Macaca mulatta: one gene and its partner. The protein of the gene in region 1 interacts with the protein of each later gene in a pairwise test. Links are inferred from orthologs where the notes say so. Each region holds a gene or a part of one and is shown on either strand. Other genes may lie near its edges.

What was found.
Region 2: the proteins of NUP58 (region 1) and keratin, type I cuticular Ha3-II interact in binary tests that used the Homo sapiens proteins (3 or more experiments, as listed by UniProt). The link is inferred for Macaca mulatta from reciprocal best matches to the Homo sapiens genes NUP58 and KRT33B.

What each region holds. Positions count from the first base shown.
Region 1 is NC_133422.1:5,528,644-5,534,451, reverse strand, and holds the start of NUP58 (nucleoporin p58/p45), read right to left. Parts: upstream 3,425-5,808; 5' UTR 3,276-3,424; coding exon 3,169-3,275; intron 1-3,168. UniProt on the Homo sapiens protein: Component of the nuclear pore complex, a complex required for the trafficking across the nuclear membrane.
Region 2 is NC_133421.1:65,705,796-65,711,479, forward strand, and holds the end of keratin, type I cuticular Ha3-II, read right to left. Parts: intron 4,425-5,684; coding exon 4,268-4,424; intron 3,356-4,267; coding exon 3,194-3,355; intron 3,101-3,193; coding exon 2,975-3,100; intron 2,799-2,974; coding exon 2,578-2,798; intron 1,754-2,577; coding exon 1,636-1,753; 3' UTR 1,298-1,635; downstream 1-1,297.

The DNA of each region.
Region 1 (5,808 bases):
CCTGAACCAGGAGTTTGAGACCAGCCTGGCCAACATGGTGAAACCCCGTTTCTACTAAAAATATCAAAAAAAAAAAAAAAAATTAGCCTGGTGTGGTGGTGTGCCTGTAATCCCAGCTATTCGGGAGGCTGAGGCAGGAGAATCGATTGAACCCAGGAGGCGGAGGCTGTAGTGAGCCGAGATTGCGCCACTGCACTTCAGGCTAGGTAACAAGAGCAAGACTCTGCCTCAAAAAAAAAAAAAAAAAAAAAAAAAGGGCCAGGCGCAGTGGCTCACACCTGTAATCCCAGTACTTTAGGAGGCCGAGGCAGGTGGATCATGAGGTCAGGAGATCAAGACCATCCTGGCTAACACGGTGAAACCCTGTCTCTACTAAAAATACAAAAAAAATTAGCCGGGCGTGGTGGTGGCGCCTGTAGTCCCAGCTACTCAGGAGGCTGAGGCAGGAGAATTGAGTAACCCAGGAGGCGGAGCTTGCAGTGAGCCGAGATTGTGCCATATATATATATACATATATATATTTTTTAATGTCTTGACAACATAACTGAAGATATTATGAAATATTACATAATTAAAGTTGAAAATGCTGCCAAAGAAACACATCAAAATGAAATTTTACTCTATCACAAAAGCAAAAGAGAAATTTTGGTGTCAGTGAAATTTACTAAACTCAAGAAAAGCAAAAGCTACCCTAGACTTGACCAATTATTGCCTCAAACCAATGTTATGTGCCAAGCACTTGATAGGATGTGCTGTATAAAAACCAACTTGACTCAATCACATCAGGAATGTTATTTTAACTTGCCAGCTTGCCCTAATGCGGACTTGGCAGCTAACATAATAGCTAACATTTACTGAGCACTTAGCAAGTGCCAGACTTGATGCTAAATATTCAAATGCTTCATCTCACTCATCAACTCAGGTAACCCACTCCTGAGTTGAGGAGTTCCAGATGTGAGAACTCCCCTAAAATGACCGACCTCAAGACATCAAATCACCAGGTGGCACTAGGGGCTGTCAGGCCTCCCAACCAGCACTCTAACAAATTTATGTCAGACTGTCTCCTCTTTCACTAATTTATCCAAGCCTCTCTAAAACTTGGGTAATTTTTTATAACTTATTACTAATAACTCATTTGCTCAGTCATTCAAATTGTTACTAAAGCCCTTTTTCTATGCCAGGCACTGTCCTTGGGACTGAGGAAGAGGTGGTAAGACTCAGACCCTGCCCTCAGGCAGTTTCTAGTTAGTGAGAAACACAGATATTAATTATTCTAGAGCTGAGATCTGACAACAAACAAGTTAACAATAAATGTAACAAACTGATTACAATTGTGATCAGCACTCTAAGAGTACTAGGAGAACAGAAATCTCCCCTAGACTGACAGGTCAGAAAAGGCCTCTCTGGGGAAAAAGACCATTTGATACTGGCAAGGAAGGGGCTGGCAAAGCCCACTTGAAAAGAGAAAAGGTCATGTTGCTAGGACAGGCTTTCTCACACTAAGATCAGGACCATGAGAGAAATATAAAAATTAATTCAAGTCATAAACAACATTAAAAAAAAAGAAATAGAATAGAAAATATCAAAGTGCATCCCATGAAGTAGGGGTTAGTATCTTTCTCGGAAACTTTATTTCAGTGATTTATTTGTGTGCAGGTAGTGGTGCACCGGGTGGTAGTTGCGTGTTTGTTTTTAACAGTGGGTCTGGATAACTAAAATAAAAAGACGGGCTCAAGATGAGTACCCAGAGGTTCCAGCAGAAGTGGACCTTGCAGACTATGGTAAGTTTTTTTGTTTGTCTGTTTTCTTTAACTTCACTCTAAAGATAGCGGGAAATGATTAAAGGGGGGAGCAATGACAATGTTTTAAAAAAAATTACTCTGGCTACAATGTGGCAGAACAGATTGAAGAAGTTGATTGGAGTAGTTTTCATCTAAAACAAGAAAGACAGCTGGTTAAAAATCTGACAAGAATCAGAAGTACTTTCGTAAGAATGTTAAGGATCAAGAGAGCAAGACTCTTAATACCTAAAACAGAGCCCTGCACATGGGAATCTGTCCAATAAATATTTGTTCCATGAATGATAATAGCCTGAGCAGGGTGGTGGAACTGGAAATAAAGACAAACGGAAATGGCAGAAGTAAAATTATTAGGACCTGCTGTTGAGCGAGTAAGAATAACGGAGGTACGGATGAAAATTCAAATTTCTGAATTTGACTGTGTAGCCTGTGATTCCTCCTCCCTCCCTTTTTAAACTGCAGGTCATGCTTAAGTTTTTGCCTTTTAAATCTACAGCCGCATCTTTTAAGCTTCAGGAAGTATCTTGTTGACAGTGTGCACACTCCTTAATTTTATGAACCCCTCCACCTTTATCTTTTAAAAAATTGAGTTCTAAAGCTTAAATCTCTCATTAAAATAAATGCCTCACCACTTTGTTTCTTTCTGGACAGTTATGTTTTTGTCGCCACCTGGACTAATGGGTTGCACAAAAACGAGGAACATGCTACCTACGTTTCGTAATTTAAGTAAAAGACAATGTTGAGTGATTACAACACAACATTCTTGCGTCAGATATACTAATCTGCACATAATGCACAAAATTACCACTAAAAAACACTGCAAAGAAGTGTTTTTTGTTGTTGTTGTTTTAACAAAAGCAGATGAGGTCCCATGTGGCACAGAAGCTTGAAAAGCTGGTTAAAAACAACCACAAAGTTATTAAAACACCGTAATATCCAAAACCGCAAATGCTGCAATGAAATTGGAATTATCTACCATAAAACTCCACAACATGCTATAATTTCATTCATTCATTCAACGTTCATTCTACGCCTAAGACTGACGCATCGCTAAAGCTCCGGGGAAGACCCCCAGGCCCCTCCACGCAGTCAAGACCTCACTAGGTCCAAACAATGCCTGAACTATACGCGGATCTGGAAACCTCACAGCACAAAACCCATCCCGCCCTCCACTTCACCAGGCCGCGCTGGGCCCGGGTACCGCGGCGAGCGAGAGGCCTACGACGCCGGGCGGCTAGATTATGTGCTTCTCTCCAGCCTCACCGGGAAGGAAGCCAGCGGGAAGAGAGAGGACGGGGACACGAGGGGAGCTTTGCGGGGGTGGGGCTCGGGGGGAATCCGGCCCAGGAAGGTGAGAAAGTGCGGTTACCTAGATGCTCCCGTTCCGAAGGAGAAACCGCCGCCCGTGCCGGTCCCGCCTGCGGCCACGGTGGTGGAGCCCAGAGTCCCGGACCCGAAGGAGAACCCTGTGGACATGTCTGCCCGGGGCTCGACGCCGTCAGCAAGATGAAAGGGCTCTGGGACACTGCTCTCGCCTCAAAGCCGAGGCGGGCCGGGGAACATCTCTCTAGCCCGGCACCGACCTGGCGAGAACTTCCAGCCCCAACGGCGGCGAAGGTAAGGCTGAGGGGGTGGAGCAACCACGCAAAAGTACGCCCGTCGCTCGCCGCGCGCACGTAGCCCGCCGGAAGTGAAACCGCCGCGCAGGGAGCTCTGGGACGCCAGTTGGGAGGGGTGCGGGGGGGGGGGGGGTCGGCGAGCCGCGCAAGGCACCCCGGGACCAGGTGGGCTTGGCGCACGGCCCAATCTCTTAAAGGAGTAGGCTCCCAGAGTTTAAAAACAGTGAAACCATTTCTGTCATTTTTTAGTTGTTCTATCGTAGCATCCGTACTGACATAATCTGCACATTAGAATGATGAATGTCAATTACTGCTCATATGTAGCCTCCTGCCAAAAATGATGCTCAGAATCGGGGAGGTCCCTCCTGAGCATCTCCTAGCTCCCCACCCAGAAAAGGAGGCGGCTTCGGGCCTTCGTTGGCTGCCGCCCCATCATCTCTTAAGAAGGAAGGGGAGCGTGTCTGCTTCCTGAAGGTTCGGAAATCAATCGAAAATAATCCATGCAACCGTCCGACGACGTGAGCCCCACCCCTGCGCCTCAGGCCAGCTGGACGCCGTTGTTGCGAGCCCGACGCGCGGCCCTGAAATGGGCCCAGAAGAGCGTCCCCGGCGTCCGTGGGGTGGCCGGCTGTGGTCCTAGCGCCCAGAAGTGGCCAGGCCCGCGGGATTTCCTGGTCTGCGGTCAAGTCCACAAACGCCGTACGCGCATCCTGATGCGGGAGGGCGGGACCTGGGGCCGAGCGCGGGCGGCTGCGCCGGAAGCGCGGTGCAGGGCTGTAGGGCGCGCGGACACACCGCGTGCTGCAGGCACCGTGAAGTGGAAGGTTAGGAAACGCACAGGAACGTGTACGAGAGAAGGCGAGATGTGGAGGGGAACTCACATTTCTAGGGTAACTCAAGAAAAATTCGCGTTTAAAGAGAACCTCTCTGGCGAAGCGTCGGGAAAGGCTTCCTGGTGGTGGTGCATTCGAGGGTGGTTGTCGTAGTGTTCGTTTTTATTTTTCCCTCAGGAATTGTTATATTACCCCCCCCAATGGTGTTCCCACTCGTGATCTCTAACAAAATCCATCCCATAAGCAACCCCCGGATTTATGATCTAAAAAGCCCAGTGGCTCTTTAGTCTGGCACTTGATGACCTCCGTATGAGGAGTCTTTCTAACCTCATCTCACAGCTCTCTGTAATTCAGTACTTTAATCTTGCGTTGAGCTTGGGCATTGCCACCAGCTGTGGACGGAACTATTTCCCTCCTCCCCCAATCCGTATGTTAAAGCCCCGCCCCACCCCGATATGTTGGTATTTGGAGATGGAGCCTTTGGGAGGTAATTCAATTTATATGAGGTCACCCGGGTGGGTCCCCCATGGCGGGATTAGTGCCTTTAAGAGAAAAAACAACAAAGAGCTTGTTCTCCTTTGTGTGCCATGTGAGGACAGAGCAAGAAGGGGCTTTCACCTGGAACCCAAACTGCCCCATCTTTATCTGGGACTTAGTCTCCGGAATTGAGAGAAGTAAATGGTGTTACAGCCACCTCAGTCTATGGTATTTTGTTACATCAGCCAAGCAGACTAATACACCACCTCTGTGTTTGTATAATTGAAACATGTACATTTTATTTTATCTATTTTTTAACTTAATTTATTATTTTTTAAATTTATACTGTATTTTGAGATGGAGTCTCGCTTTGTGGCCTTGGCTGGAATACAATGGCCTATCACTGCAACCTCCGCCTCCTGAGTTCAAGCGATTCTCCTGCCTCAGCCTCCCGAGTAACTGGGATCACAGGCGCACACCACCACGCCCGGTTAATTTCTGTATTTTTTAGTAGAGATGGGGTTTCACCATGTTGGCCAGGCTGGTCTCGAACTCCTGGCCTCAAGCGATCTGCCCACCTCGGCCTCCCAAAGTGCTGGGATTACAGGCGTGAGCCACCGCTCATGGCCATAACATTTTAAACGTCATGGAGGTCATAATGGGAATGATAAAAAAGAAAAAAAGGGATATATTTGGATTAAGATATAAATAAAAACTTCATAGTTATCGAACAGGAGGCAAAAATAAAAGATTGTTGTGAGTTTTAAAGCTTCAGTGATATAGAGAAGGCTATTTTCAGTAATGGCTATAGGGTGGTCAGTAAGAGGATTGTTCACATAAAGTCTTCCTTTTGACTGAAAAATAAAAGGTCCACATGATTTTTATGGGAAGATAGAAAGGCACTCCCTATGTCTTTGATTTTCTCTTGTATTCTTCCCAAAACTTTTGAAGAATACCAACCTACAATTAGTAATAGCAAAATGGCTGGCACTTAAGAAATATATATTAATGAACAAGACTTGTAATATTCGCAGGAAGGAAAGAGCATGTAAAAATATAGGAACTAATATGTTCATAATA
Region 2 (5,684 bases), on another chromosome or scaffold:
GCACAGTGGCTCACACTTGTAATCCCAGCAATTTGGGAGGCCGAGGTAGGCAGATCGCTTCAGCCCAGGAGTTCAAGACCAGCGTGGATAACCCAGCTTGTCTCTACAAATAATACAAAAATTGGCCATGCGTGGTGGCGCATGCCTGTAGTCCCATGTACTCAAGAGGCTGAGGTGGGAGGATAGCCTGAGCCCGGGGAGTTCAAGGTTGCAGTGAGCCGTGATCATGCCACTGCACTCCAGCTGGGGTGACAAAGTGAGACTCTGTCTCAAAAAAAAAAAAATTTTAAGAATTTAAGACTGACATGTGATGATGGAACCAGCATCATCACAGCAGGGGAGATAGTATAAGCTTCATCTCAAGGAAAGAAGACATAACTAGCAGATTGTTTAATCTGGGGACAATCTGCAGACTGGGGGAGTGGCCTTGGCACAAACCACAACATGCACAGTGATGGGAACCATTAACCTTGGTTAGACATCAGTTAGGCACCAGTAGGAGCCAGGCATCAGTAAAGTGGTCACTGTTAGCATTTGCAGACACCTGACTTGTAATATCCTAATTTGACTCTAAATAACTTTGAGGGGGAGGGTCCCAAAATTCATATGTAGTTCCCATGGTTAAACAATTCAAGTGAGAAAAGAAACACTTTCAAAATAGGTTGGGTATTGCTCAAATATGGAAGATGGCAAGGTGGTGCTTTTTAGTATTGAGTTATTCAGTATTTCACAAAGGAGAGTTTCAAAGATGCTTTGAGCACTAATAGCATTGTGTCTCCCCAGGAGGATGTATAAACTCTGGGTGCTTGTTTGAAATCAGTTTTATCCTCTCATAGTCACACCTTACGTGTAACTGACAAGCAGAGAGTGAACTCTGGGTTCAGTCCTGCCATTGATCCTTCCTCACTGTGAGGAAGAGAAAAAATTAGTAGCACAATTCCTGGTATTTGGTAGGTGTTCAATAAATATTAACTTCTGTCATCCTCTGGTAGGGACTTAAAAGAAAGAGTGGAACTGTCTAGAGATGCTATCCGTTGCATTTTACTGAGTAAGGTCCCATGAGAAATATGTTTATCATATTCAGATGAGGCCTCTTGTCCTAGTGATCCCACTTGTTTTATGCTGGCCTAAGTGGATGCTGGGACTCACTGTGCTTAATGAATGTTAATGAAGGTGATGAAGACCTTTTAGGAGATGATTAACCTATAAAGTCCACCTTCTGCTTTCAAGTGGCTTTATAAGAAGCACACAGAGAGTCAACACTTTGAAAATAATGAATACAAATGAGAATCATGTCTGCTTTGCAAGAGGAAAGTTTATTAGGCGATTTGGGGAACTGCAATAAAGGTAGAAGCAGCAGAGAGAACAAAACACCTCGTATGCCACTGTCACAGCTCCAACCTCTGACCATCAGAACCCAAACTGAGTACAGGAGAAGGGCTTGGGGTGAGGAGGATCAAGTGGGCCTAGGTTCAGAGTCAGACCCAAACGCTGAGCATTTGTTCTCCTTCCAGACCATAATTTGTGGTGATGCCTTGGGGTGGGGTCTGGTGGCTGATGGTTGTCGGAGATGTGGAACTGGCCCATCGATGGTAGTTCTGTCTTCATGCTATACTCCTGCTGGCCCCAGAGTATCTAGCACCCAAAGGTGTTGCAGGGCCCACAGCGGGAACGAGGACCACAAGCATTGGTGACACAGGATCCAATGGACTTTTCATATGCATTGGTGGTGGCGCAGGGGTTGGAGGGCAACCTGGGATGCAGAAGCATTATACTGTCAGCATGAGAAGGGTGATTCAAACAAGGGAGGCTCAACCCAAAGAAACATAGAAACAAGCAGAAATCGTTCTCTGATGTCCTAGGAAGCCATGCCTTGTTTGGATCACTTCTTCTACAGAGTTCTGATACAATGGCAGAAATGAGCAAAGAACATGTAAGGTGGAATGCCAGCCTTCCTTCTATGACCCTGGACACACAAGAAAGTCACTTCCTCCTTCTAAGCCTCAGCTTTCCCACCTGTAAGGTAGGACTGGTAGTACCAACCACACAGGATTATGAAAATTCCACAAGATTGTGTTCGTAAAAATATTATGTTCGCTGGCAATTGCCGTATTGATAGTGATTGATCATCATCCCTATTGACACTCAAATGCTCATCTATAAGATGGTGATAATGAGTCCCATTCTGCTGCCTCAGATGATTCTAACAAGAATTAATGAAATGGAGGATTTGAAAGTTCCATTTAAATCAGAAAAAGTGATCATTGTTACAGTTTTGTTTTCCTTTTTGTGGTGACAAGACAGTCTTGAAGATAGAAAGATTTATTTGCCCATCAGCATCCAAAAAATCTCTGCTGGAGGAAGCAGTCAAGTCCCATGTCTATCTTTTGTAAAAGAAAATATATTTAGCCCGGGTAATGTTAGCAATAAATATCCAATACTTCCCACAGCTGTAATATAAAACTCTGGCCTCTACAGACAGGTTGGCATCTGAAACTTTATCTTCAAAGTCCCTGTTTTATCCTACAGTAGAATAGTGACTGTGCCTTGCAGGGGTGCCGCCCACCAGGTACTCACTTGCAGTCCTCGCTCTCCAGGAGGCTCCGGTACGTGTTGATCTCACACTCTAGCCGGGCACGCACGTCCAGCAGCACCTGGTACTCCTGGTTCTGCCGCTCCAGGTCACAGCGGATCTCCGCCAGCTGCGACTCCACGTTGGTGATCAGGCTCTGCACCTGGGACAGCTGGGAGCTGTAGCGGGCCTCGCTCTCCGTCAGCGTGTTTTCCAGAGAGTTTCGCTGTGGTGGGGAAGATCAGGAATGTCAGAGAGCTGCTCCTTGTAGGGTTCCTCCATGGAGTTCCAAAAAACTCACAAGTTCCAAGGAGCTAAGGAGAGTGTGTGGCCCCAAGGATGTCCCCAGGACTCTGCCTCCCAACTTCCCATCATTCACCAGCAGGGCTGAACAATACACACCAGGTTGTGCTGGGCCTGCAGCTCAATCTCCAGGGCGTTGACCGTGCGTCTCAGTTCAATGATCTCCGCCTGGTAGGACTGCAGCTGCTCTGCGCTGGATACCACCTGCTTGTTCAGCTCCTCGGTCTGAAACACCCAAGGGGAGAAAGGATCAGACCCTGCCTCCAGGGCGGTAGGGTGGGCCTCAGTTCCTGAGTGGCCATGTGCTTAGATGCCCACCTGCGTGGCGAACCATTGCTCCACTTCCCTGCGGTTGGTTTCCACCAGGGCCTCATACTGACTCCTGGTCTCGTTCAGGACCTGGTTCAGGTCCACAGCAGGGGCAGCATCCACCTCCACATTGAGGCGGTCTCCAAGCTGGCAGCGCAAGGTGTTGACCTCCTAATGGAGAAAAGGGAAGAAATAAACCCACAGAAAGAAGTCTATCAATAACCTCTTTGAGGCAGTTCAATATAATGGGAAGAGGATTGCATTGCAACTTAGGAAACATGAGTTGAAGCCCAGCTGCCACCTCTGGAGATTCTGGCCTCTTCTCTGAATCCCTTCCCTCATCTGTATGATGAGGCTGCTTCATTAAATGATTGCTAGTATTTCTACCCAATCTAAGATTCTATCATTTCTTTTTTATTTCCCCTTTGCTCAGTGATGAGCCTGGCATGATAATTGGCTTACAATTGTTGCTACTTAAATATAGAGAAACCAGGTTTCGTTCCTCCTATTTATTTCATGGGATACTACTAGAGTATGACACATGTTTTCATCATGAAAACATCTAATGTTTGAGACATGCATCTGATTTCCTGTATTGCATTCAGCCATGAGATCTGAGTCAACCATTATTTGAGTTATTTCATTTCTTCTGTTTTTCCCATCGCTCAGTTCATCCATCCATCCATTCATCCATCCATCCATTCATCCAGCTTGAGTTCTAGTTATCTAGATGAAACAGAGTATAAGAATATTTTCTATCTCCTTCCAGTCTCGGTCTTTAACACGGCACTTCTTCAGAAGCTAATAGATAGCATCAAACAGTAGACAGTAGTTTAAAGATATTTGTGTGATCTTTCAGCCTTACATGTCTGGGTCCCAAGGGGAAATAGGTCAGCTTACCACACTCCTTTATGTAAAAAAGGGAAGCTGTCACTCATTCCCCAACAAGTCCCAAAGTACGTTTTGAGCAACCAGCAAAATGTTGTTAGGTCTAGGGTGCTTAGCAAATCAAGACCTACCTTATCCTATTCAGGGGGATCACAGAGCTCTCAGTATTGGGATATTGGGGGCTAGGACTCTTACCTGCTCATGGTTCTGCTTGAGGGACAGCAGTTCCTCCTTCAGGGACTCCACCTGGGCCTCCAGGTCAGACCTGCACAGGGTCAGCTCATCCAGAATCCTGCGCAGACTGTTGATGTCAGACTCCACCAGCTGCCTCAGGGACAGCTCCGTCTGGTACCTGCACACACAGCCAGAGGTCAAAAGAGGTCAAAAAAAAAAAAAAAAAGTCTTTGTTTCCTAGGCTTTACTTGGCTGACTTAGTCAATTTTATTATATTTTGAAATATTTTGAATTTTAAAAATATTAAGGGAGAAAATACTCCTGTACTGAGTGAGAAGGCCTATTTTGTCACTGAGACACACATAAAAGGTATTGGTGGGATGCCTGTGGATAGTTTAGTCTAACATGAACTGCATTTGTTCTAAAAATCTTGTTTACAAGTTGCTGTCAACTAAGCCCTGCTGTTTTTGCCATCTCAAGTGAATCAGCGCCCTTCGTAAGCCTGCTCCAGGTTGTCCTGCCATCCTTTCCAGCCTTGCCAAGAAACAATTTAGTGTTGTGGAAGAAACACTGAATTCAGAGTCAGTTAGAGCCAGTCTTGTCATTGAATGACTGTAGATAGATACTTTAATCTCTCTGAGCCTTGATTTCCTCAACTGTAAAATGAAGACAAAACTAACACCTCACAGGGTTGGACTGAAGATGATATAGGTAAAATTATATTGTAAACTGTAAGATTCCAGGAAAATGCAAAGGATTCTCATGATTGTAATAATGGTCATACCTAAAAGTATTGATTGATTCTCTGAAAGGAAATGGATTTTGCCTTCTGTTTTTGTGGTTTAATAACTTCTTTTTGGTGGGTTGACAGTGACTAACGTATACAAAGAGATCAATGTGAAAATCACTTTTAAACTTAGTCCAGACATTGGGTTGAAAAGGAAGAAGAACGGATGTTGTCTTACAATCAAACTTAAAGCACAGGGCTGCGCACAGTGGCTCATGCCTGTAATCCCAGCACTTTGGGATGCTGAGGTGGGTGGATCACTTGAGGTCAGGAGTTCAAGACCAGCCTGGCTAACATGGTAAAACCCCGTCTCCACTAAAAATACAAAAATTGGCGGGGCCTGGTGGCACATGCCTGTAATCCCAGCTACTAGGAAGGCTGAGGCAGGAGAATCACTTGAACCCGGGATGCGGAGGTTGCAGTGAGCCAAGATCGCATCACTGCACTCCAGCCTGGATGAGAAAGGAAGACTCCATCTCAAAAAAAAAAAAAAAAAAAAACCTTAAAACACAGAATCTGAGCACCTATTGAAGAGGCTTTGACATTTAACCTAATCCTAACCCAATACAAGAATCCTCCCAATATCATCCAGAAATTTCTTCTTCCACCCTTCCAGGATAGGGAGCTCATCACTTTGCAATTCAGCCTGTC